Linked DNA regions of Drosophila melanogaster. Changing the gene in region 1 together with any one later gene gives a genetic interaction. Each region holds a gene or a part of one and is shown in the gene's direction. Other genes may lie near its edges.

The links.
Region 2: of robo2 (region 1) and ena, changing one suppresses a phenotype caused by changing the other (phenotypic suppression), as found in Drosophila melanogaster (2 studies listed by BioGRID).
Region 3: of robo2 (region 1) and comm, changing one suppresses a phenotype caused by changing the other (phenotypic suppression), as found in Drosophila melanogaster (2 studies listed by BioGRID).
Region 4: of robo2 (region 1) and Dys, changing one suppresses a phenotype caused by changing the other (phenotypic suppression), as found in Drosophila melanogaster (one study listed by BioGRID).

The regions. Positions count from the first base shown.
Region 1 is NT_033779.5:1,417,454-1,422,075, reverse strand, and holds the start of robo2 (roundabout 2), read left to right. Parts: upstream 1-1,622; 5' UTR 1,623-1,910; coding exon 1,911-2,172; intron 2,173-4,622.
Region 2 is NT_033778.4:19,153,676-19,161,222, forward strand, and holds the start of ena (enabled), read left to right. Parts: upstream 1-1,545; 5' UTR 1,546-1,799; coding exon 1,800-2,692; intron 2,693-5,058; coding exon 5,059-5,380; intron 5,381-5,444; coding exon 5,445-5,677; intron 5,678-6,107; coding exon of another isoform or gene 6,108-6,119; coding exon 6,120-6,360; intron 6,361-6,501; coding exon 6,502-7,227; intron 7,228-7,298; coding exon 7,299-7,457; intron 7,458-7,518; coding exon 7,519-7,547. UniProt on the Drosophila melanogaster protein: Functions, together with Abl, trio and fra, in a complex signaling network that regulates axon guidance at the CNS midline. Required in part for robo-mediated repulsive axon guidance. May be involved in lamellipodial dynamics.
Region 3 is NT_037436.4:15,722,404-15,730,097, reverse strand, and holds the start of comm (commissureless), read left to right. Parts: upstream 1-1,667; 5' UTR 1,668-1,893; coding exon 1,894-2,401; intron 2,402-6,826; coding exon 6,827-7,431; 3' UTR 7,432-7,694. UniProt on the Drosophila melanogaster protein: Controls axon guidance across the CNS midline by preventing the delivery of Robo to the growth cone.
Region 4 is NT_033777.3:19,461,839-19,466,571, forward strand, and holds the start of Dys (dystrophin), read left to right. Parts: upstream 1-1,694; 5' UTR 1,695-1,801; exon of another isoform or gene 1,802-1,843; intron 1,844-2,661; 5' UTR 2,662-2,986; coding exon 2,987-3,008; intron 3,009-4,733. Other genes in the region: Scsalpha2 (Succinyl-coenzyme A synthetase alpha subunit 2), read right to left, coding at 98-1,126.

The DNA.
Region 1 (4,622 bases):
ATAGTTAGCACATTGGATTTACTTTGGTAAGGTAAAGGACATAAGGTATCTATATATTATATATTATCGTATATACTTGCAGCGTTGCCCAACTTCACTTGAGTGCTAATGAAGCGTGGCAACCGGGCTCAGATATCTCGCCTTTCAAGCAGAGCAACTCGCCCTGGCTGTAAATTGGCCAATTATCAGCATTTGAAATATGGTTTACCTGCCACGAATTCTCTCTTTCCTCTACCTGGATTCTTCGCCTCTATAAAAGGTGAGCGGCAGTGGGAATCGGGATTCGAGAGTCGGGATCGGAGAATCGAAGAAACGAGGGACTTGAGAAGGCAACAAACTCACATACGCCGTACGCACTTTGACCTTTCTTTCTCGCAGAGACAATGCACATTGTGTTGCACTCTGAAAAGGGGAAGTGGAGGGGGAAAGGGAATCCACACCTGCCCGCTCCTAAATGCACGCATAGTTCCTTTATAGGAAAGATACACACCTTTATTTTACACTTCTCTGCCCGTCGAATGTATCTGTATCTGTATTTTCTGAGCACCGGCATTAATGAACTGACTTCACACTCGTCCGAAGAACTCTACCTGGAGGAAAAGTTATTGATTATTTAACAAACGCTGGGAAATTAGGCAGCGATTTATAGAGGAAAGCCCTTTCGGATATGCACTTTGATAAATTAATACAATATCGTCTAGCTGGCCATTCAATTGATTTCGAAATTCATTAGCGCGCAGAGGCGTCTAGATATTGGGACAGTGTCCAAGAACGGGTCTCCACTTTGATTTCTATTCATCGCATTGTGAAACGGATCGTCTAGAACTGTGTCTGGCTTTATTGCAGTTTGGAAATAGATGAGCTAACAGCTGGAGAGTGAGTGGGGCACTCGAGCAGATTAGATATGAAATGGTCGCCCCTTTGGAGGGGCTCTTTCGACTCTCTGCGCCGGCGAAGGGTTGAGCGGACACGGTGGAGCTGGAGGGCAATAAAGCGCAACAAGTAGGGATTATCCGAGCTCGAAATGTTTTCGGATTCGGATGGAAACTATTGAGGCTGAGCGGCACAAAGGTTGGCAATTTGTTGGCTTGACAACGTGAAAAAGAGCTTGAATGATCGAATAAAAATGGAAAAGAGCTGGAGATAAACAAGTTGGACTTGGAAATGGATGTGGCATGGTGTTAAAGTCCGTTTGAATGTAGATTTTTTTGTATTAGCAAATGATGCAGATTATTCATAAAAAAAGCCAATAAATACATGACTATGTGTTGTGCTGCAAAGAAATCCCCATCTAGTCCTGGAAGTCAGATACATATTCCAACAATTCACATCCACTCAATAGCAACATGATGATGCACCACCACCCGAAATGTTGCACGACTCGACGATAAACCTAGGGCACGTGGATCGAAACGAGTGAAGACGGAACAAAACAAACCGTCTTGCAGTAAAAGTAAACAAAGTTCCAACGCGTTCCACAGCATGCAACAAGCGGGACGAACTGGAACGCGGAACAGCGCACGAAGCGATACAGATACTAGATGGTACTCGGATACACAGACACGAAGCAGTAGCCGAAGTGGACTTCGGGTGGCGGCTCCGAGGCGAAACGAGAATTCGTTCCTCAGTCGCATTTCGATTGTCAGCCGGTTCGCATGTGCTGCGGATGCAGATACAGTCCATATATCCGTATCCGTTCGATTCGTCGGGTTACGCGCGTCGTCGTTCCGGGAAACGGACTTAGTGGCGCCGCCATGGATTCAGATGCTAGCGAATAACTAACTCGGAGGAACAGAAATACTGTGTGTGCCAAAACAGAAGATCCGAAAGATTGCGCGTATCGAGAAATGAGTGCAAATCTATTTTAAATGGTGTGCAATTAAGGAGGCGAAACGAGAATACTTGACAAAATGCATTTGTGCGAGATGCGTGGAATGCCGCTGCGGTTGCAACCTCAGTGTTTAACCAACGAAAGCGAAATTCAAATTAAAATCAAAAGCAAAATCAAAAATAAAACTGCCAGCGAGATCAAACGCCGACACAGAAACAATCGAGATTTTCATGGGGAGCGGCTAAAAATAATGCCAGTCGATCGGAGTCGACGCGCAGTATTCCCACTGCTGCTGCTCCTCGCGGGATTAAACGGATTAACTCAAGTCGGAGCGCTCAAGGGTAAGTGTCAACAGATGCAAGATGCGTCCATCTCCAGAGTTGCATTCGCAGGGTTGCATTGTGGGATCTCTGTTTTAGTTTGAAGGGCATTATGACAAACTATTTCCTCCCAGAGCCAGGGAAAATCCTTCGCGGCCGCATATGAGTTGCCTCCTCATGTCGCTGCACTCCCCATTTATTTATTAGCGTCATTTGTTTCCATTTACGTTTTTTTGTTGGTCGACTCCGTCTTTTGGCTATTTTTGGTTGCAACACACGCGGCCCGACCGAACAACAAAGTGAAATTAAGGCACTGCGGTTTATTTATGCCTGCAACGTTCGCTAATGGATTTTAAGGCCGCTTTATAGACAACGCGACATCGACTCTGCCCATAGACCCATTATTCATGCCTCTCTCTCCCGATTCTCATTAGAGATGCACATAATGGGGCGACTTTTGGATGGGCATAGCTGGATGTTTGGGCTTTGGCAGGGCATTGCAATCGGTATCGTAATTCCAGAGATCTCTCAGAAGTTCTCTGCAGGTTAGGGAAGGTTAAGAAGTATCTATTAGTATGGATACTTTTAAGAACAATGCTGCTAATTCCTCATTATTCCTTATCACCACATAACGAACACCAAAAAACAAATGCTAACCCACTGAACCCACTTAGGGATCACATTTGGGAAAACTAAATACAACTTCCAAAGAATACACAGATCGTATTACACATCGAACCCGAGAAAAGTGAAAAAAAAATGCATATGTGGAAACTCAGTTGGATGAGGGTAAATCGAAACACAGAAATTGTAAACCCCTTAGGGAGGATCTCGGGAAAGATCACTAACCAAAACCAAAACCGAACTTTAGATAAATGAGTAATGAGTTCGAAAGACTAATCAACCGAGTGTAGTTTCCCGCTCCAATCTCGCAACTGATTACAGGAAAATCAAACAAAGAATCGAGTTTGTGGCTTTTGTGGTCGAGATGGCAAGTTCAAAAAGAAAACTAAAGCGAAATGGTTTGAGGTTGGCGGTTTAAGGAATGGGAGTTAAGCAACGCTTTTAAATTAGACCCTTTGGCGATTTCATGGCTCTATACCTCCGCCGATAAAACATATATCTAAATGAGCTTAAGTCGTCACACCCCTTGCAACGCTGAGAATGTTGTAATCTAATGCTTATTAAACGCTTTTTAATGCCAAACCAACGACGCCCAGTCCACTGATATCGTCCATGGACACACGCAACTCGGATTCGGATTGGGATTGGGATTTTTGAATTCGGATTTCAGTAAACACTTGAACACGCAACCTGAGGCTGTGTGTTGCAGCACCAAGTATCTGTATCTCAGTGTCCCCATCCCGAAATGGCCGATGTGACGTGGCAAGTGTTGCACGCGACGTCGCCCGTTTGATATAATAAATTGTATAAAATTATCTGCACCGGCACACGACAGGATTTTGTTCCTCACTTCTGGTGGTGTGTGACCAGCGAGATCCAGTTAGCAGCCCAGCTTTTGGGTGGTGGGTCAATCGCAGTCGGCTTGAGAATCTGTCGGGGTCATAAAAATTATCGCCCTCAACACAAAGTTGCAGGGTTGACAGCCTTGGCAACCTTCTAATGCCACTCTGGGGAGCGTTTTTCCAGCTAACTGGACTGACTGCACTTCTTTCTGTTTTTTTTTTTTTTTTTTTCGTTTTGACTCCGGGGGTGGCAGTCTATCCTTTCCTTTGTCTTGGCCGTTTATGTTGGCATTTTTTGTGTTTTTGTGTTTTTTTTTTTTGGGTGCCCGCCTGGCAAAAGCCTTTCGGCTCTTGTGCAATTTTCTCATGTGCATTATGCGAAAATTGGGCTAAGTAGCGGTCTCTGGCTTAGTTTTCCTACTTTCCCGGGCGAAAGAAATGAAGTCAAGTGCTGTGGCAGCTCCGTAGCATGTTATTTGTTCAATCACATGATTGCCCTACCAATCGCCCGGCACTCAACGAGATCTCCCATTTGCTCCCAGCTGCAGGCTAGATAATGAGGGGTCTTATGGGATAGTATCCATGCCATAGCTAGCACCGATACGTTGGCACACAGTTTGGGGCAGGAATGTGATTGAAAGTCGGGCCAATGTGGGTGGAGGTGTTGCAAGTCGACTGGCGAAAGGTCTAGCGGATAGCGACGTACTTCTAGGAATATTCGAAAATACGGACTAGGACGGGAGTGATAGGTTTTCAGTAATATGTAGTTTTACTTCTAATAAAAAAATCAATTTGGATCGAATTCCTTAGAAAACACATAGCCACTCCTTGGGGAAAAGTATTTACTTCTAATTGCAACTAGCCGTGGCTTCAGTACGCCTTTCCTAAGAGCATTCGATCTCCAGTCGACTATTTGCCAGCCAAACAATAATTAATTATTTAAAACAACAGGCTTACGACGACGGCCAGAACCCAGAACGCAGAGCCCAGAGAGACATCGGTCTG
Region 2 (7,547 bases), on another chromosome or scaffold:
TGTGACTCCGCTGCTCACATGTGTGGGCCCTGTTTGTTTTTATGATTTTTTTTTTTCCAGTCCGATGTCTGCCTGCGGGTCTTTATGGACAGCCATATGGATTACTCCAGTACTCGCATTCGTAGTGCCCCTTAGAAATATTTAGTTGCCAAATCATTTAAGCCGCGGCACACGCTCTGGTCCAAAAAAAAAAAAAAACAAAACAAAAATGGTAAAAAAAAAAAACGAACTGAACCATTCTGACAGAGCCATTAAAGCTAGCCGGTAATCGGTTGGCTCAAATCAGAGATCGGTGAACCACCAACAGCCACTACACAACCACTTACAATGGGCCACAATAATGTTAATTGGAAATAACGTTTAGGAATTGTTGTGGGGCAAAAAACCGAATCAGACTGAAACATAAGCCAGCGAGTCAGAAACAGAGGCTCAGATCTCTGAGAGCTGAGTGCTCCAAGTTGAGATAGACAATGTTGTATATGAATTTTTCATAACATGCTACAAGCTGTGCCTCCAGGTACCTCCCCCCCCCCATTTCCCGCCGCCGTCGCCGCTTTTCGCCGCCAAAGAACAGTTGAAATGAAGGAAACAAAAACGCAGCGAGCGAGGGAAAAATACTTGTAATAGTCACTCGAGGGGGAAATATAAATTATTGAGCTCGTTTCTTAAGTAATTATCGCACTGACGGACGGAACCAACTTACTGAATCACAAACACTGACCGAATGACTAACTGGCGGATGGACAGACTGACCAACTGGTTAAACGACGGTCACGAGACGTCGGCGAGGCTTCAAGATTGCCGGCAGAAAAAAGCCTCGGGCGCAACTTTGTAAGATTCGAGAGCTTATCGCATACCCTTCGAAACTGCATAAGAAATTTGAGATGGAACTTGCGCAATTTCATAGCTAGGCGAAAAGTTGTAAGGGTATGCCCTACAATTCATTGTATCATTGTAGCTCTCTGAAGATATTGCATATTTTAGGGAAACTGCTTGAAACTCTGTTTCAGTGCCTGAAAACTTCTCAAAATATAAACTTTTGAGTATTAAAATAAAATCGCCTTTCAATAATCTGAATCTTACATCCTTCCCTCAACGAAAATCGTGTAAAACGAGAACGTTTTTTCTCAATAGGTTCTATGCAGACTACTTGCCCTCACGTCTTTTAATTGTCATGCCATTTGGGAATCGTCTGAAGCGACTGTGAGTCAGGTTGTGGTCTCTCCATCTACCTGGCCATTATGCTCGGTTCCCAGCTCGGGGTCAATCCAGCTCAACATCCATAGCACATCTCATCATTTCTCATTATTTTATTGACTTTGAAGTGTAATTATTTGCCTTTTAGACGAATTCAAAGCGCAGCAGCCGCTAAAATGAGAGAAAAATACAGATTGTGAGCCGATACTCAGTTTCTCGCTCACGTCTTTTCTGCTCATTCGCCTTTAGATATATTTTTTTTCTCGGCTTTTGTTTGTCTTGGCCTCGACTGAGAGACCGTTTCGGTCTCTGAGACCCAGTCGCGATCTCGGTCTGGATCTTGGCTTTAGTCTCCAGCGGGTCTTGAGTGCGTTCAGACGTGTGCAGCTGAGATCTTGGAACGACGAATGGTGATCGGTGATCTCTGATCAGTGACCAGTGGGCAGAGAGCGAATAGCCAAGATCCAAGAGCCTAGGCAAACATAAATACGATACATCCGATCCGATCCGATCGTTCGGTTTCATAGTGTGCTTAAGTGTGGGATCGATCGTGGGATCTGTTTAGTGTCTGTGACGCCTCTGCAAATATTGGCCAACGGTTAATGGCCATGAAGAAGCTCTACGCGAAGACCTCGTTCACCAGCAAGAAGCCATCGAGTGCCGCCAATTCCACTCCGATATTGGCCTACCACCAGCAACAGCATCAGCAGCCGGGCAATGGCATTTGCGAGTTCCAGGTGGTGGCACCTGGTCACTCCGGTGAGCTAATGATACGCCGCAGCCAAAGTATGCACCACAAGATGTCGCCTCCAGTCGGCGGCCTGGGCTCCAAGTCGGAGTACTACAGCATTGAGGAGCTGCAGGAGCTGGATTTGCTGGACTATCGTCATCCCATGTACCATCATTATCAGCAGCAGGAGCTGAGGCAGCGCTACCATGAGCACGAGCAGTTGGTGCTGCAGTTACCCAAGGCTACTAGTCCAAAGGCAGGACCCATCTATGAGGCACCACAGAGATCTCAGCAGCAGCAGGATCAGATGTTGTATGTACCAACGGCAGCGCAAAGAGATTCATCATCAAGTGCTGCAGCCACATCTATAGCCAGCTCATCTACCCTAACTTCATCCCCATCGCCATCCTCCTCTTCATCTCTGATCTTTTCCACTTTGCGCAAATGCGTTTCGCCCTCGAATCCCTCGGTGAATCCGAACCAACCCTCAAAAACTCAACCCTCCAAACTGGGCTGTTCCATGTCGTTTTCAATTAGAACGACAACGGCAACAGCAGCCACAGCCGCAGCAGCAAATGCAGCAACAGCAACACTATCGACACAGCAGCAACAACAGCAGGCACAGCAGCAACACAAGCAACATCTCTATAGCAACATACATCATTATCTGATCCGACAACAACAGCAGAAACAACACTACACATTACAACGTCGCCATAATTCGGTCAAAGATAAATTCATTGGGGGCATTACAACGATTTTTGCGTATGTGTAACCCACTTCCCTATGCGTCTGTCCTTGGTTGGGTTCTGTAATAATTCCCATATTTCCCCACTTTTCTCTACTATACTTCTTCAATCTCAGCACGTAGTACTTGGCCCTGGACTTTTGAATGCGTTTTACAGCTTGGTGAGATCGTTCGTAAATCAAAGAACTCTTAACCCCCACAGAGCAGCCGCCGTCGTACTCTCCGGTTTAATCATAATTATAATTTAACGCCAATTAAGCTGGAAAACGCTATCGTGTGCACACGAATCTGCATCTTGCACTCGGCTGCAGTTTAAAAACTTAAGCTTAACGCACGAATAAATCCCCAAGGCATAGAAAATTTCACCTGCCACATATTGAAAATGCTCCCAAAGCGATTTTCCAGTGGCTCAATTATATTAGCATCCCATTTAACTGGCCATTTGCGGGGCACTTTTCGATTTTCATTTGGGTTTTCCACTCAGCTGCACAGCGCAAAAAAACGATTAAGATGTTAGTTTTTACTGAAATATTTAATTGCTTTCTTTAACGATTAAAATACTATGTATCACATGTGTCGATTTTACGATTCATGAACTCATTTCCATTTCTTTACAATCTAATGTAATTAAAACAGTCGTACAGTTCTATGATTGTAGCTTAAATCTCGGAATTGGCACGTTTAATAGGCACTTATTACGTGTAAAATCGAATGAAAGCATTTATGCACTGAATGTTAGTCACAAAATGCATTACTAATCCCAACTACTTTGCTGCTGCGAACTACTGAAATAATTTTAGTTGCATTAAAATTGTTTAAAAGAGTACAACACTTTTACAAAAGCAATTCTTTTGCTCACTCCGACTTCCTATAATTATTTTCGAATATGTAGTATCCAATTTATGAGATATAAATCGATTCGATTGTAAAAAACAGAAATTTAAAAAAACTGATTGACCGCTATTGTTTCGCAGTTTCTCATAGTGTGCAGAAAAAAAAAACTTCACTTTCGTTGCCACGAATTTCGATGCAAATCAAAGCGGACAGGCTCATAAGACTTAGCTCCAAACTGTCGGTGGTTATATAAGGCCCTGAAACGGCGCACAGCTGTGCCAGCCGCCAGAGTGCGACTCGGATTCGGATTGAGATTCGTCCGTCTGTCCAGCCGTCCGTACCGCCGATCTGCGCACTCCATTTAAGTGCAAAACTACTTGCGGCTTTTGGCCGGGCCAAGTCTGTAGCGAGAATACTGCCGACTCGACTCGTTTGGCGGCTGCTCTCCGTCATTATCTCTATGTGTCCCCCAGTAACACACAACTCGGAGCAACTTGGAGCAACTTGGAGCTGCTCAGGCAACTTGGAGCGGTGCAGGCTAGCAAAAACAAAAAAAGGGGCAGAGAAAAAAAGAAAAAAAAAAAGAACGGAGCTATAGGATAGAAAGAACACCACATAGCCAAGTTGAGCAAAAGGCAAGGCAACTCGTCATCGCCTTTGCATTTTTCCAATGAAGGCGTTCATTTGTCGCTGGCCATGTTTACTTCACTGGCTGACTTTAATTGTCAACTCAACTGAGTGTCCCGGGGGGAGAAAATGCTAAAGGTTGAATGCAGCATATACACGTTCATATTAGAACTTTCATTAGAATCATTTAATCGGTCCGTGCGACTCGAGACGATCATCTGGCTGGATGACAGGTGTGCGGGCATACAAAGAAATGCATTGCACTTCCTGTCCTGAAACCGATGGGATTAGAGGGGAGTCGAGGGTATACATAGATCAAAGCCCTTGCTCACTTGAGGCGTGTGAAAAGTCTGGAAGATCACGGTGCAGTAAAGTGCAGTTGAATGAGTTCTTCAAGGGGCAAATTGTAGAGCCGATCTAATGATCTGAAAACGACTGCTCATTGCGACATTCTTTCTGGGAAGTCTTAATCGAGTCTAAGAAGTTTTTTTTATTATGACGGAAAATCGATTTCTATGAATATATGTAGAAGCTTTCCATAGAACAATATATACTTTTTACTTCCAATCCCACGAAAGCCATCAATAAATTTGTATCTCTTTTATTGAACTCGTTTAGTGCAAATAATAAAGTTGCCAAATTTGACTAATTTGTTAGCACAACTTCCGTTTCGTTTCCCACGATCTTTTAAGACTTTAAAAGAGTTAACATCATAAAATGGAATTTTTGTACATACATATATGTTTCTCGCACATTTTCATATCTTTTCTTCTCAAGGCAAGGGCTATTCCCTATAATAAATTTTCAGCTCGAACTTCTTGAAGTGTGTTAAGTCCTCATCATTTCCATACACATTCAAGGTTCCATTCCATACCATTTAAGTCAGCCAACTAACCATAATATTCACACTTATTTCTTGCAGTGAGCAGAGTATTATCGGGGCGCGGGCCTCTGTGATGGTGTACGATGACAACCAGAAGAAGTGGGTGCCATCGGGCAGCTCGTCGGGATTGAGCAAGGTGCAGATCTACCACCACCAGCAGAACAACACGTTCCGTGTGGTGGGACGAAAGCTGCAGGATCACGAGGTGGTCATCAACTGCTCCATTCTGAAGGGACTGAAGTACAATCAGGCCACGGCAACATTTCATCAGTGGCGCGATTCGAAATTCGTTTACGGCTTGAACTTCTCGAGCCAAAATGATGCGGAGAACTTTGCTAGGGCCATGATGCATGCCCTGGAAGTAAGTATATCTCTTTCACAACCAATATCTGTATCATTCGCTAACATTTGAATGTCTTTCTCAGGTGCTCAGTGGTCGCGTGGCGAACAACCCAGGTGGACCGCCCACAAATGGCAATGGCTATGAGGAGGACATGGGCTATCGCACGATGACCAGCGAGGATGCAGCCATACTGCGTCAGAACAACAGCATAGGTGGGCACGTCACGCCCTCGGCCCAGACGCCCACCTCGCAGACCAACCAGAATAACATCCCCCAGAGCCCGCCGACGCCCCAGGGTCATCATCGCACCAGCAGGTAGGCTCCATTTCCATTAATTGTGTTGGATACGGCATGCTCATTGCTGTGGAAAAACCCATTAGCTTAGACTCGATTGATCTAACCATTCAAGAAATATTCAATTTTATGAGAATAAGTCATTAGCACATATTGGTCGGAAGGAACATCAGTTTTCTTTGAACATTATAAAGCTGAAAATCCGTGGTTGTTATAAATGAATCCTAAGATCAAAAATTTCATTAGTCTTCAGATGCAGATACATTTTCTTGCAAGATATGTAATGTAGGATACAATTGTAGGATTGCATTACGCAAGTTGGGAACAATTTCTATCCACTTACACATGAGCAGTAGGGGCCAACACTTTTATCCGAGTTCTCGTGTCTCATCTCTCATATCACTCATTGATCCATCCCCATCCCACGCCGAACCTTTGCTCACCCAAAAAGGAATTCCCTCAGCGCCCCACCGGCACCACAGCCCCAACAGCAGCAGCAGCAGCAGCAGGCGCAGCAAATGGGTCAGCCAGGATCCCACTATGGACCCACTGGAAATGGACCCACTTCGAATGGCCTGCCACAGCAGGTGAACTCACAGATTCCGCCGGCACCGCAGCAGCAGCCACAACAGCAACAGTTTCAGCAGCAGCAGCAGCAACAGCAATATCAGCAAATGGTCCAGGCGGGCTATGCGCCCTCTCAGGTGAGTTCGATATGCTATAACCTCACCCCGTCCCAGTTTCCTCATGCGGTATTTCTGTTTCATTTCATTGGCAAATTGGCTTGATCCTGAATCTGAATCTCCTGAAAACCCCGACACACCACCACCATCACACCCCAACAGCAGTATCAGCAACCCCACTACGTGCTCTCCAATTCTAATCCCAATCTAACTGTGCACCAATACCCGACACAGCAGGCGCAGCAGCAGCCACCGCAAGCGCCACAGCCGCCGCTCCAGAACGGTGGAATGTACATGGTGGGTCATGGTCATCTACCGAGCTCCGCGAGCGCCAACAGTGTTGTGTACGCCAGCCAGCAGCAGATGCTCCCGCAGGCGCATCCACAGGCACCTCAGGCGCCGACGATGCCAGGTCCGGGCTACGGTGGTCCACCAGTACCTCCGCCCCAGCAGCAGGCAGAGAATCCGTACGGTCAGGTACCCATGCCGCCGCCAATGAATCCGTCACAGCAACAGCAGCCAGGTCAGGTGCCTCTAAACCGGATGAGCAGCCAGGGTGGTCCAGGTGGCCCACCGGCTCCTGCTCCGCCCCCGCCACCACCCAGTTTTGGTGGAGCTGCTGGAGGAGGACCACCACCACCAGCCCCGCCACAGATGTTCAACGGCGCACCGCCGCCGCCAGCCATGGGCGGTGGACCACCGCCGGCTCCACCGGCACCGCCAGCAATGGGTGGCGGACCACCGCCAGCACCGGGCGGACCAGGGGCACCACCACCACCGCCTCCGCCGCCGGGATTGGGAGGAGCGCCTAAGAAGGAAGATCCCCAGGCAGATCTCATGGGCTCGCTGGCCTCCCAGCTGCAGCAGATCAAGCTCAAAAAGAATAAGGTAAAATATCAATTTATTTAATTTATACAACTTGACTAAGCATTGTATTACCGTTTATTTTTTATTTTTAGGTCACCACCTCTGCTCCGGAGAATAGCGGCAGCAGCACGTCCAGTGGCGGCAGCGGCAACTATGGAACCATAGGACGAAGCTCTAATGGCATGGCCTCCATGATGGACGAGATGGCCAAGACGCTGGCACGACGACGCGCCCAAGCAGAAAAGAAGGATGTAAGTCAACTTTGTTTAACTTATTCCATAATCAATATCTTAATTCGTTGGCATATTGCAGCCCGATCCTGAAGCCGAAGTGAAAAAACG
Region 3 (7,694 bases), on another chromosome or scaffold:
TTTATTTCATGCTTTAAAAATATATAAAATTATTAAAATGATTATTCTTATTGTACAGCCTGATTTATATTAAGTCCCACTTATTTTGTTACCACTACGAATTTCGACTACACCAAAGACCAACAAGTTATTAAATATACCAAGGAAATGATTATTTTCTAGCTGCATTTAGGCCATCAAAGTTTCCCTGAACTACCCAACGTACTGAAGTATGCCCGCAAACACGCATTGATTAAAATCGCTGCAGTTAAAACTTATGCTCAAGTTCAAAATTAGTCGAAAGCTAATTAACGATAAGCTCGGCTTGCCAAAGTGCAGTGCAGAAGTTTTCGCCTGGGCTCGGAAAAGTTTTTAATGCATTTATCGAGTGACTTTGGTCTCTAGCTAAGTGCTTATTATCGGGCATCTATTTCAATTTCCCCCTGGCAATTACGAGGCAGTCGAAACTACACATTGTAGTTGTCGGGAAAAACTACGTATTTTCCAGCCGCCCAAGACCTCTGACATTTTGAAACACCCACAACACACCGTGTGACCTTTAACCCAGGGCAGTTCAAAGGCAACTGCCATCGACTGCTCATTTTTAGTTTGGTTTTGCGCCAGGGAAATGGGAAAATTCACTCACCAGAGAGAGCGAGAAAAACTGCAAAAGAGAGAGAGAGAGAGAGAGAGTGCGCAATCAAGTGGGAGAAAATTTCCCTTTTTGAGTCCAAGTCTCTCCGAGAAGAACCGGTTTTCGAGTGGGTTTTCGAATGACATTGGAGTGAGTTCGGGTGCAGTGCATTTGTTCCACTTTCTGAGCAGGATATTTTTGGCACGTTTTTGTGTCGTCGGAGCCTTTTGTGCATTGAGTTTTTGCCACACTGCCGGCTTATGGTCAGCATGAGCAGAAATGAAGCGTGCTGTGGGTCGAATCCCCTTCCTGATTTTTTGTTGTTTTGTACCCCATTTTAGCCTTTTTGGAAGCAACAGCAACTGCTGGCAGCAGGAAGCATTGCGGTATCCTGACGCTCGAGGGACTCATAATGGTCGAGATTTTGAGTTCTGGTTACAGTTTGGGCTCTGGGCTACTTTAAAGCCAGTGAAAACTGGGTTAGTTTAAGATGGCTAAAAGCTAGACGTCACATAATTTCCATAAATTCTTCATGGCCCAAACAAAACTTTTAGCTGGCCATAATTCTTCGTTTGATTTGGCGCAAACTTCGCGCTCAGGCTTATCAAATGCCTCAGAACCCCTTTTTGCCTTTCATTAAAATCAGCACAGACTGAAACTTTGCCACAAAGCAATTTGCTGGAAAAACACAAGACCGAAAAGCGTTGGAAAAACTTTAAACAACGAACGTGACCGAGGTGAAGTTTTCCCTTCTTAACAGCGTTTTTTTCTCTGGTTTTCGTACGGAAAATATAGTTTTTGGTCAAACTAGGTCAGCTGGAGAGCAAAAAATAAGGCAGGGAGAAGGCGAAAGGACGTCAAACATTTAAAAACATAAAAGACATGCCAGAAATTGCATGCTTCTTTAAGCAAGGACTTGACTTGATTTCTTGAGTGCCTCGCCCACGACTCACTCAAGAGCGAGTGAATCGAGAAAATGAGTGAGTGGAATGGCAAATTTCCCGCATGGCATGGCATTCTCAGCGACCCGATGTAGGTATTATGCTCTGCCAGCTAGCAGTCAGTCAACTTATAGCCGCTCCAGCGAACGGACGCACCGAAAATCGAGCTATAGAAACTCTACGGCAAATAAAAAACCCGAAATCGAACCCATGACTTATATATAGAGCCAAACGATTTGTTTACGTGTCGTGACGCGAGTGTGCCAGCAGTTGTGTGCGTGTGCCAGACGCAAGCAGAAAATAAAGTTTACAAATTAAAATAAATCAAAGGCAATCACCATGATTAGCACCACGGATTATCCAACAGTGGAGACCACCACAACTGCCGAAGAGCTCTATGCGGAGTACATATCCGCGCCGGCCAGCAGCATGAGTCCCGCTGCAATTGCCGAGCACCTGCAGCAGAATCAGATCACCTTCGAGATACCCAGTGCCCACGATCTGCGACACATCGACGCCCTCAACTCCTTCAACGCCCTGCTCCAGAGGATTGGCAACGCAGCGGTGTCCTACGATCCCGCTCCACCCAGCGGCTGGTCTCCGGATGGCAGCATCAGCACCGAGCAGCTCTCCAAGTCGGTGGTTCTGGATCTGGCCGACTTGCGGGATAGGTCCGAGGAATCGGGCGAATCCTCGTGGTGGAGCCAGATCTTCGGGGATGCCGACATGCATGTGATCATCAATTATCTGTGGATCGGAGTGGTCAGCTCGCTGGTCATTCTGTCGCTGGTCTTCATCCTCTTCAGCTGCTACTTCTACAGGAAGTTCCGCACTTGGAAAAAATGCAGTAAGTTTCAGTCGGACAGCCACCCAAATATAATCCCCACTCATTTTCCGCCCCCAAAATGCCATACATCTGGCTTTTATGTGCTCGACTTTAATCAAAATGTTTCGCCAAAGCCTTATCTCCGGCCATTTATTCAGCTGGCTAAACAATATAAAATGCAGAAACAGAAAGAGCAACCGAAACAGGTCCCACCACCACCCATCGGTTCCATCAGCTTGGGAGCTTTGCTCCATAGAGCTCCTATGGCCGCAAAGCCTCATAAATTTTTTGGCGCGCTTCGAAATTGTCAGCCAGCCGTTTGCATCGTTCTGTTGTAATTTTAGATACACAAGTTTATTATGCCACAAAATATATGTGCCGCATATTTATAATATTAAATTGACTCGCCTCGGAGGCATTGTGCCCCTTTTATGATAGCGATAATGTACGAGCTGGAGAATATGGACGACCTCGTCGACCCTTCTCCCTCGAAAAATTGGAATTGTTGCCCCGAAATTTGTTTTGCAGGCGAAAGGCGTGAAATTGTGCCTTGATATTTATATATTTTGTTTTGGGGGCCGAGGCGGTAAAGAGTAATATAATAAAATAATGATGGACCATATCACTCAGCTGCGTAGCTAAAGTCTGAGGAAATGTGGCCTTTGTAAGTGGGCGAGATTGTAAAATATTTATTTTGTTTGATATTAGTTTAGGACCTAGAAACATTAAAAATTGAATTTCATATTTTTCTGACATCTCTCACACTTTTAGTTCAGCTCTGGCAGTCCAGTATTAAATCCAAAATCAATCAAGTTTGACACAACTGTTATCAAAATCCCACCTAAATCCGACCCAGATTACCAACACTCAACCCAAATAGAGCCCATGTAAATATATATCTTATCTGCTCGAAACCTGTTGATCCCAATCCCAAAAATAAATCATATGTTTAGGCACTTTACACATAATTACGGAGCACCACAACAAAGAACCCAACTCATACTAAACCAAACAGAACTGAACAGAACCTAAATGGAATTGTATTGGAGGGGCTGGCTAAACAACCTACACAACTAACAAGACTCCGACTCAAGTGTCAAACTTTTTGCAGACCAATTTAGCCAAATGATTTATTTAGGCCGGGCAGCAAGTGAAGGACTACGGCCAGGAGCAAACTTTCGTCCTGTTCCTGGGACTGTGAGCACAACTTCTTGGGCCAAAGGGCCGTGGCCTTAAAGCCTGGCCAACTCAACTGTCAAACTGTCAATTTTGTGCTAACGAGCCTTAAAAACTTTGCCCTGCGATTACGACACGCGACCAAGAAGGGTGGATCCGGAAAGCTCCATTTATATATATATATATATATACGTGAAATATCAATTTGAGCGATATGTGTTGCCTGCTTTCGGCCGTCCAATGCGTCTAATTAGTTTCGTTAGTGTCGTGTTCTGTGCTTCTATTTTTTTTTTGTGTGCTCTTCCCTGGTCCTATGGCCCAGATAGATAGCAAGTGGTTGGTGGGATAGGTTGCCCGGGATACTGGGATACTGGGATACGAGAAGTACGTGTGTCATTTATAATTAAGCAACTAGGCCGGAGTTCACTTCGGCTTTTGTGCATTTAATGCCAGCTACGTGGCGTCTCGCAGTGTTTACCTTATAAATGCTTAACGAGGCCCAAACACAAGAGTGTCTGGCCCAGTTGCCATTCAGCCAGCCAGGCAGCCAGGCTTACACCTTATTTATTAAACTGTCACACACACTGGCGATGGCAAACTTTCGGTCCTTTGGCTTTGGCTTGTTATCAATTAGTGCAGCGGAGGACTACGACTGAATTTATTAACAGACCAGATGAAGTTACTAAATTAAAGCCAAAGCCAAGCCGAGGAGCAACAGCCACTGTTTATCATGTTGTATAGGTCCTGCATAATTTAGTTGCGTAAAAATGTAATTAAGCGTAGCATATTTGCCCAAGACCAGAAAAAGTTGCTCTTAGCCCGGCAGTCCTTTTAAATTTTTAATGGTTTTCGTAGCGAGCAGCGCAGAAAAACTAGAAGCTGCTCTCTTTTTCGGCCATGGAAAATATTTTAGTTGCTTTGGTAGTTTTTTACCCCCATTTTGGCAAACTCAAATTGAGTGCTGTAATTAACCAAATTGTTTTGTAGCCGACCAGCACTTAGTGGTATGGGAAAGGCATACATAATAGAGCTGGCAAAAGTTTTAATGGCTGAGACTGCATCTTTTGTGTGGGAAAAATGGAAACACTCGAAATCGAATACCCATTTCAATGGGCGGCTTAATAACAATTGAAAGCAGCTTAAATACAATGATCATAATTCTTAAATAAAAAACTCCACTCAGATCGAATAAAGCCAGAAAAGTTGGGGCGTTTAAAAAATTAACAGACATTTATGGCAACACAAAATAAAGCAGCTCACTGCTTTCCATTTGCCAGTTTCCATTCGAGAGTGCCAGCTTATTGCGATGAATTTAAATTGTTGCATACATTTGGGCGCATCGACAACAGAAATGGGGAAAAAAGACAGGATACAAATGCAAAAATAAAGAGAAAGAAGGCAAAGTGCCAATGCAGCTGAAAAACAAAAGGCATCAACGAATGGCGTTAATTTTTTTTTGCCAACCGCACAGAGAGCGAAATAAAAACTAAATTTTGTATCTAAATATTTGTTCCGTTAGTGATATTTTATTTTCCTCAAAATAACATCACTAACTGGTTTGCATAATAGAAAGTGAATAAAAAAAAGACATTTGATATCACCATAGGACTTCTAGTTAGTAATATAAATTTTCTGCGTGCATCGGCCACCTTTTTCCCGATTTTCCGACTTTCTTTGCGTCCATCTGCAATGCTTGAAGCGGCTGAGTTGGTGGATGGGGAGGGGGGGGTACACCTTTTTCAGGGGCGGCTGTTTGTTCAACACTTGCATAAAATATGAAGCCTGCAGTCTGTGTATGAGTGGGCCACGCCCCCTTAGTCCAGGGCCCCGTTTGCCGGCTGTCTATCAAACAGAGAGCAAGGAAAAAAGCACGGAAACAAAAGTCGAAAAAGGGAAAACAAAGAGACAGAGTCCTCATGTAGGGTGTTCTGGCCGAAAAAAAGGATTTATATATGTGTGTGTGTGTGTTACAGTTATAACAATAAATCAACAACTGCTGGCAGCCACTGTAACTGCTGACTGGTTCTGCTACCGCTGCGTTTTAATATTGTAATGCGCAAATTTTTCAACAGGCTTTACCCCATGCCACAAAAACCGAAATACCGACCACCTTTCCTTCCTGCGAGATGCGCTTTAATTGAAAAAGCGTTTTCGGGAACAGAGAATTTATGAAAAATACAGCCTGAACAATTAAAAAATTGCCGAGTTTTTCCACAGCGAGGCGGCAACCAAATTAAATGACACAAAAAATGGACAGAGGCGATCCCCTATTTATTTATTGAATGCAGTTTAAATTGCATTTAATAATACTGAATACCTGCCACTTTTTGCAATGCCACATATGCTGGGCCGAAATTCTATTTGAGGCAAATTATTGCTTCATGCATTTTTAATCTGCTGTAACTCAAAATACAACCAAATTAAATTCTTTGATGGCCTCGGCTTAGAGCGCGTGTGCATGGAAATTGGAATTTTCCAATCTTAATTTAACTCTGCTTAATTTGAAACATGCACACACACACACACTCAAGCACACACACATGGACAGCAGCTGCGGCATTATAAAAATTAAATGCTTTCTGCTGCCTACTTTCCGGGGCTGTCGAGCTTTTATTTCATTGCAGTTGGCAGTTGGCGAACGTGTATGTGTGAGCCTGTGTGTCTGTGTGTATGCGAGAGAGTATTTTATTTCATTCCATTCTGCCACGCGCGCACTTCCGGCATATTATTGCCTAGTTGCTGTTGTTGCTTGGGTGGCAGTCAGTCCGCTGTGAAGGAACTTCGCCTGTCCTGCCATCCTCGCCGGCATTTCCGGTCAGCACAAAACTTTCCGCTTCCCCTTTTTTGCCATTTTTTTCGCCTTTTTTTTTGCCTCTGCATTCGGGAAAGTTCAAGCGTTTGCGCCTTTACGCTAAATTGAATTTAATGCCACGGGCCCGTCCTTCTACAAATGTCCTTTGACATGGACAAACAAAGTAATGACAGAGTCAAAACTTTGATGCCTGATTGGGAAGCACCCATTCCGCTATTCCTACACAGCAAGAAATGAAAAAAAATAGTATCATGAAATAAATTTTAAACAAAAACGAATTTTAATTTTAACTATTAGTTACGTGGAATATTGTTATATCTCAATGTTTAAAGAATCTTAATTTGTGCTTTCTGCATTGCTTGCCCCAAAAAGTCCCTTTTTTTTCTCTGTCCATCTAAACAATAGAAACTTTCTGGTGACAAACTCAACTAACAAACTCCGTCTTCTGTTTATTGCAGATAAGGACATACGTGCCCAGATCCATGCGGCCAGTGACTCGTACTCCTCGCACCTGGTTGGTTGCGATGCCAGCAGACTGCTGTTGCACCAGCAGATGCAGCATCCACATCATCGGAGCAGCGAGGCTGGGTTCTACCAAATCGAATCGCCGCCCTGCTACACAATCGCCACCGGATTGCCCAGCTACGATGAGGCACTGCATCATCAGCCTCGGCACTTTGCCTACGGCATGAAGTTCGTTTATCCCTCGTTGGCGGCCGTGCATCATCATCACCATTGCATTTCCAATTGGGAGAAGCAGGAGCCGCTGAATAAGCTGCAAAAGTGCAAGCTGTCAGCGGCAGCGGCAGTGGAGGAGGATAAAGCCGACTCCTCATCGTCCACGTCTGCATCCGCGTCGCCATCCTCTTCGGAATCCAGCAACTTGGCCACAGCAACGCCTGCCATTTGCATTAACATGCCAAGTGGGCGGCAGGATGAGGAGGTGGATAATTCAGATTCCGATTCCGCAATTGCAGTTGCAGTGGCAGTAGCACAAAGTTTACAGCCGGCGGCGCCTGCCGACGATGATTGCGCCTCATTGGTCGTTGTTGTTGCCGCGTGATTGCCCACCCAGGGGTCAGAGGTCAGGGAATAAGGGGTCAGTCGAGGGTTTAGGGCCGGGAGTAGCAGCCCAATTGCTTAGTCACTTGTAAATAGTTGCATCGTCTGCTAATGTTGTTTGCCCCATGTAATAACATATATCTCCGAGAATGTACCCTCTCCCTCCCTCTAAGAAAATTTAGTTTTGGTTTTTAGTTATCTGTTATATATTATTGTATTACGCAAGACTGAGTATTATTTATTGTACTATGTATAAAACCGAAT
Region 4 (4,733 bases), on another chromosome or scaffold:
TATAATTTAGACTTCGAAAAAAAAATAAAAGAGATATTTTAGCAATTTAAAGAGCACTAAGTTAGTTTATTGGCATCAATAACTTGTTCCGCCACTCCTACTTCTTCCCGGCCTGAGCCTTCTTTTTGTTCGGCTTGGGCACCAGTTTCAGGCGGATCATTTCCTCGAGGAGCGTGGAGCCCAGGTGGCAGGGATTGGCGGTCATACGGACTCCCGCTTTCTCCAGGGCGGCCACCTTGTCCTTGGCCGCTCCCTTGCCACCGGAAATGATGGCGCCGGCGTGACCCATTCGACGACCCGGTGGAGCAGTCTGTCCAGCAATGAAGCCAACTACTGGCTTGGCCTCGCAGCCAGTGTTCTTCTCCTTAAGGAAATCGGCAGCCTCTTCCTCGGCGGATCCGCCAATCTCTCCAATCATGACAATGCCCTTGATCTCCTTGTCGGACAGAAACACTTTGAGGGCGTCTATGAAGCTAGTTCCGTTAAAGGGATCCCCGCCGAGGCCAACGCAAAGAGCCTGACCCAATCCCACGTTGGTGGTCTGATGGACGGACTCGTAGGTCAGGGTTCCCGACCGCGAGACTATGCCCACCACTCCTCGCTTGTGGATATCTCCCGGCATTATTCCGATTTTGCACTGATCCGGCGAGATGATTCCCGGACAGTTGGGTCCCAGCAGGCGGGACTTCTCCTGGCAATTCAGCATTTGCGATATCCGCACCATATCCGCCTGGGGAATACCCTCGGTGATGGCCACAATCAAGCCAATTTCACTCTCGATAGCCGCGCAAATACCCTCGGCGGCGGATGGAGGTGGTATAAAGATCACCGTGGCATCTGGCTTCGCCTTCTCCACAGCTTCTGCCACCGATTTGAATACGGGCTTGCCCAGATGCTCCGTACCTCCCTTTTTGGGATTCACACCGCCAACTATATTGGTTCCGTACTTTATGGACTCCTCCGAGTGGAAAGTGGCCTGCTTGCCGGTGAATCCCTGGACTAGAACCTTTGTTGCCTTGTTGATCTTCAGGTTGCACACCGTCTTGCCATAGTCCGCCTTGCCACGCCTCAAAATTTGGGGCGTTAACGCCCGCAGGAGCATCTTGCTTCCTCGATTTAGTGACATTTTGTGGGAATTAAGTCTTGGATTGCTGGTGGATTTGTTTTTGGGCCAAAAAATTAAACTTTTGGGGCCTGATTTAGAATGGAGTTCTTACCAAAACTGTTGACCGAATGTCAGGTTTCAACAGTCAAATTATCAGGGAGGTTTGGAAAAAGGCCTGCTGTGTTCTTAACAAATCCTTTTCTGGTAATTTACGTACATGCATGTTTAAGTGCATTTTCTTTTATACAACATTGAGGTCCTATAACTCCTAAACCTTGCTTTGTAACTTCATGTTATTAAATTTAAAGAGTTATTATCTGTTATAATATAAATTTGATAGTAACTTGTTAAAGTAAAAATGAAAACAAATTATCTACCCCACTGTGCCTGCGCTCAGCCCTTCAATTAATTCCGATTCGATTTTAATTGAAATCCAATAGAAACTCCTCTTTTATCTCGCTCTCACTCTCTGAGCGCGCGAAACAGCTGAACTGAAACGCCCGCTTTGGCCAGTTGGGCTGCAACCCGTTCCAATAAGATCATCGTTCAAAGAGAGCGAACAAGAATAGCTACGTTACGATCGCGTTTCAGATCGCTTTCTGACTTCGAAGCGTAAAGACTTAAAACGCGTCGGATAAACACCATGATGTTACTGGTTTTTTTCTGCGCGCCGTCGTTGTGAGCCGAGAAGAAAAAGTAACAAAAGAAGCAGCGCAGGAAAATCAAAATTGGCTGCAAGTGCGTGTCCCGAAAGTTTAATAACCAAGAAAAGTTTGTAAATTGAAAAAGGCACTTAAAGTGGTTACCTAAAATGAAAAGATAATGGGAAAGAGCAAAAAAAAAAGCTGACGCAAGTTCAAGGTGTAGAATTTGTGCGCGTGTGTGAGTGTGCCACAAGTTGTTTGAGCAAAAGTGGAGAAATAATATAAATTCCGAAGGAATTTCAACAGCAAGTGCTTGAAATCGCAATTGGTGTGCCAAACTTAAGGTTTTGCCTTGTCTTTAATCGAGTTTTTAGAGGTTTTAACTCTTTTTTTCCAACAAACACACACATTCACGCATTCTTGATTCTTTGACTCACAAATTACCCACGATAGCAACAACAAAAGTGTTGTCTGTTCCAATAGCCACACGTTCCATTTCTGGTTTTCGCTTTTAATGCCGCACTGTTTCGGACGTTTCCAGCGTTCCTCGTTAACCGGTGTTTGCTTTTTGATGAGCGTGAGAGCGGGGAAAGATAAAAAGAGAGAGAGAGAGACTAAGAAATTGATAAAGAAAATGGAAAAAAGTAAATAAAACAATCAAATTGGTAAACAACGCTGCTTGTTAAAATTAAAAATGGCAGGCAAACACAAAAACTCATTAAAAGCAGAGGAAAACCTAACGGTAGTTTCCTGACTCCCGCTCACTTCCTCTCTCTCGCTCATTCTCTTTGCCGTTGCGCATGCGCAAAACATATTTGTTTCTTGGTGGGAAAGTCAACACAAAGTCTAATAAGAAAACAAACATCACAGGTGTCACCTTTAATATTCGACATTCTGCAATTGTGATTTTAGGTCTTTGTAGAATTCTTGGCACACCTTCGATTTCTGGAAATTAACGCGAAATATTACGAAACGAAGCGGTAAACAAAACCAAATGGTGCGAAAGTGGTAAAAAAAAACGAAATGCGGCGATATCAGTTGTCTTACCACGAAGCATACATATCAATCAAACCGAAATAAATAACCCGAATTGTGTCCATGTGATTCAACGATTTTGTAATTCAATTCGATACGATACGACCTTGAAAAGCATAGGTTTTTATGTTGGTGATTTTAAATTTTATCGAAACGAAATCAATTCGCTACTGGGATTAAGCGAATCAAGGATTATACGACTATGGAACCCGGAATTTTAATTGGTAAGATTGTAGATCTTTATATGGGTTTTTAAAGAGAAAATCATTACTGACTTCAAGGCAGATGTTAAAATACAAGATGAGATAAGTCATATTTCTTGTTTGGAAAATCATTAAAAATTCGATCCAATAACAGATAAATCAATTTATATATACAATTTAATGTATGTAGTGTTCTTTCTCTTAAGTTTATTGGTAAATATTCTTAAAAATATTTTGCTTAGTTTGCTTTGTAGCATAAAATTAAGTCAAAAAGTCGTTCAAAAAGTATTCTGTATGCATTTATTCCCACACATGTTCGGAGCTAATTACAGAAAAAATCCACAGATCATCCAACTGCACTCCCTTCTCAAAACTTAACCCCATTGGGGGAAGAGCAATTATTTCGAGGGCTCAGAACTCGTGCCCCCATTTCACATATCTGAAATAATTTCCATGCTTTCTTCGCTCGCAGAAGCGACTTTAAAAACGGAGACAAACAGACGACCACATGTTGCTTGTAGTCACAGAAACATATGCAATCACTGGGAGAAATTTTTCTAATCTACAGAATATTAAAAAGTGTTAAAGAAAAGAAAATAATTATAATTAGAAAGTAAGTAAAGAAGATGAAAAATACATTTGCAATTGAGAAATTAAGCTAGTCAGACAATTTTTCGAAGCCACATTGTATCTCAAGAACAAAGCGATTTAAATTTCAAATCCTAATATAAATCGAACTGAGCTAATTTTTTCGCCCAGTGTCCTGGAACAACAAAGTGATGGCACACACCCCATTCAGAACCACAGATACAGATACATCGCTTTAACTCATTTGGTTAAGCATTTAATGATCGGGCAAATGCAGAGTCGGCCGAGTTCTGAGGGGACAGCTGGAAAATGCGAGTGAGGAGCAGAGGGTGTGGCCTGGTCTGTAGACGGCGGTTGCTAACGCTCCCAAGCCGAATGCTCTGCGTAACCCGCGCTCAGCTAATGAGCACCCAACCGCTGTGGAGGGGGGTTGGGTGGAAAATCGGGGGAGCGGGCTGCGAACGGGTGTAATTGAGACTCGGTTTAGACACCGAACCGCACCAATTTGTGCGAGAAATCTAATATGTGCGGGTTTCCATAAAACCCGGCGGCGAAAATGCCGAGGGTATATTGTATTTCTTATAAATATTAATAATATGAGTTTTAAAATTTGTAGACTTACAAAAACTTCAACGCAAATAAACGATCATTCGATTTTTATAAATAATATATAACTATTTCGACAATCTGTAGTTGATAAACCCCAAGCAAGGGTTTCGAATAAAATTGCTAAGTATTCTATTTCGTTTTTAGATTAAATGTAAAGTATTCAACAGTTTTCGAATTCCAAATTCGGGCTTGGATGGCATTAGGCGTATCCATGAGTGTCGCTGGTTTGTCTGCGGCTTAAAACCGGCAAAGCCACCAGTTCGGATCGAAATCCGCTCGACCAGCTGGGCTTGGAATGCGACAAAATGCGCATTTGCATTTGGCCACATGTGTCGGTTTTATTTGATATGTTTTTGTATTTGAGCTTAGTGGGATCTGGAGCACACATTACCAATACCAGTGCAGCCGGTCTTTTCAAGTAACACGGACACGGAGTCAAAAATGCGCACGCCCGTAAAAAATTACTCCAACTACAGCTCGCAATTTGTTATTCCCGCTATTTTGCTCTTTTTTTTTTTGGCTAATGGGTTTCCATTTGTTTATTGCTTG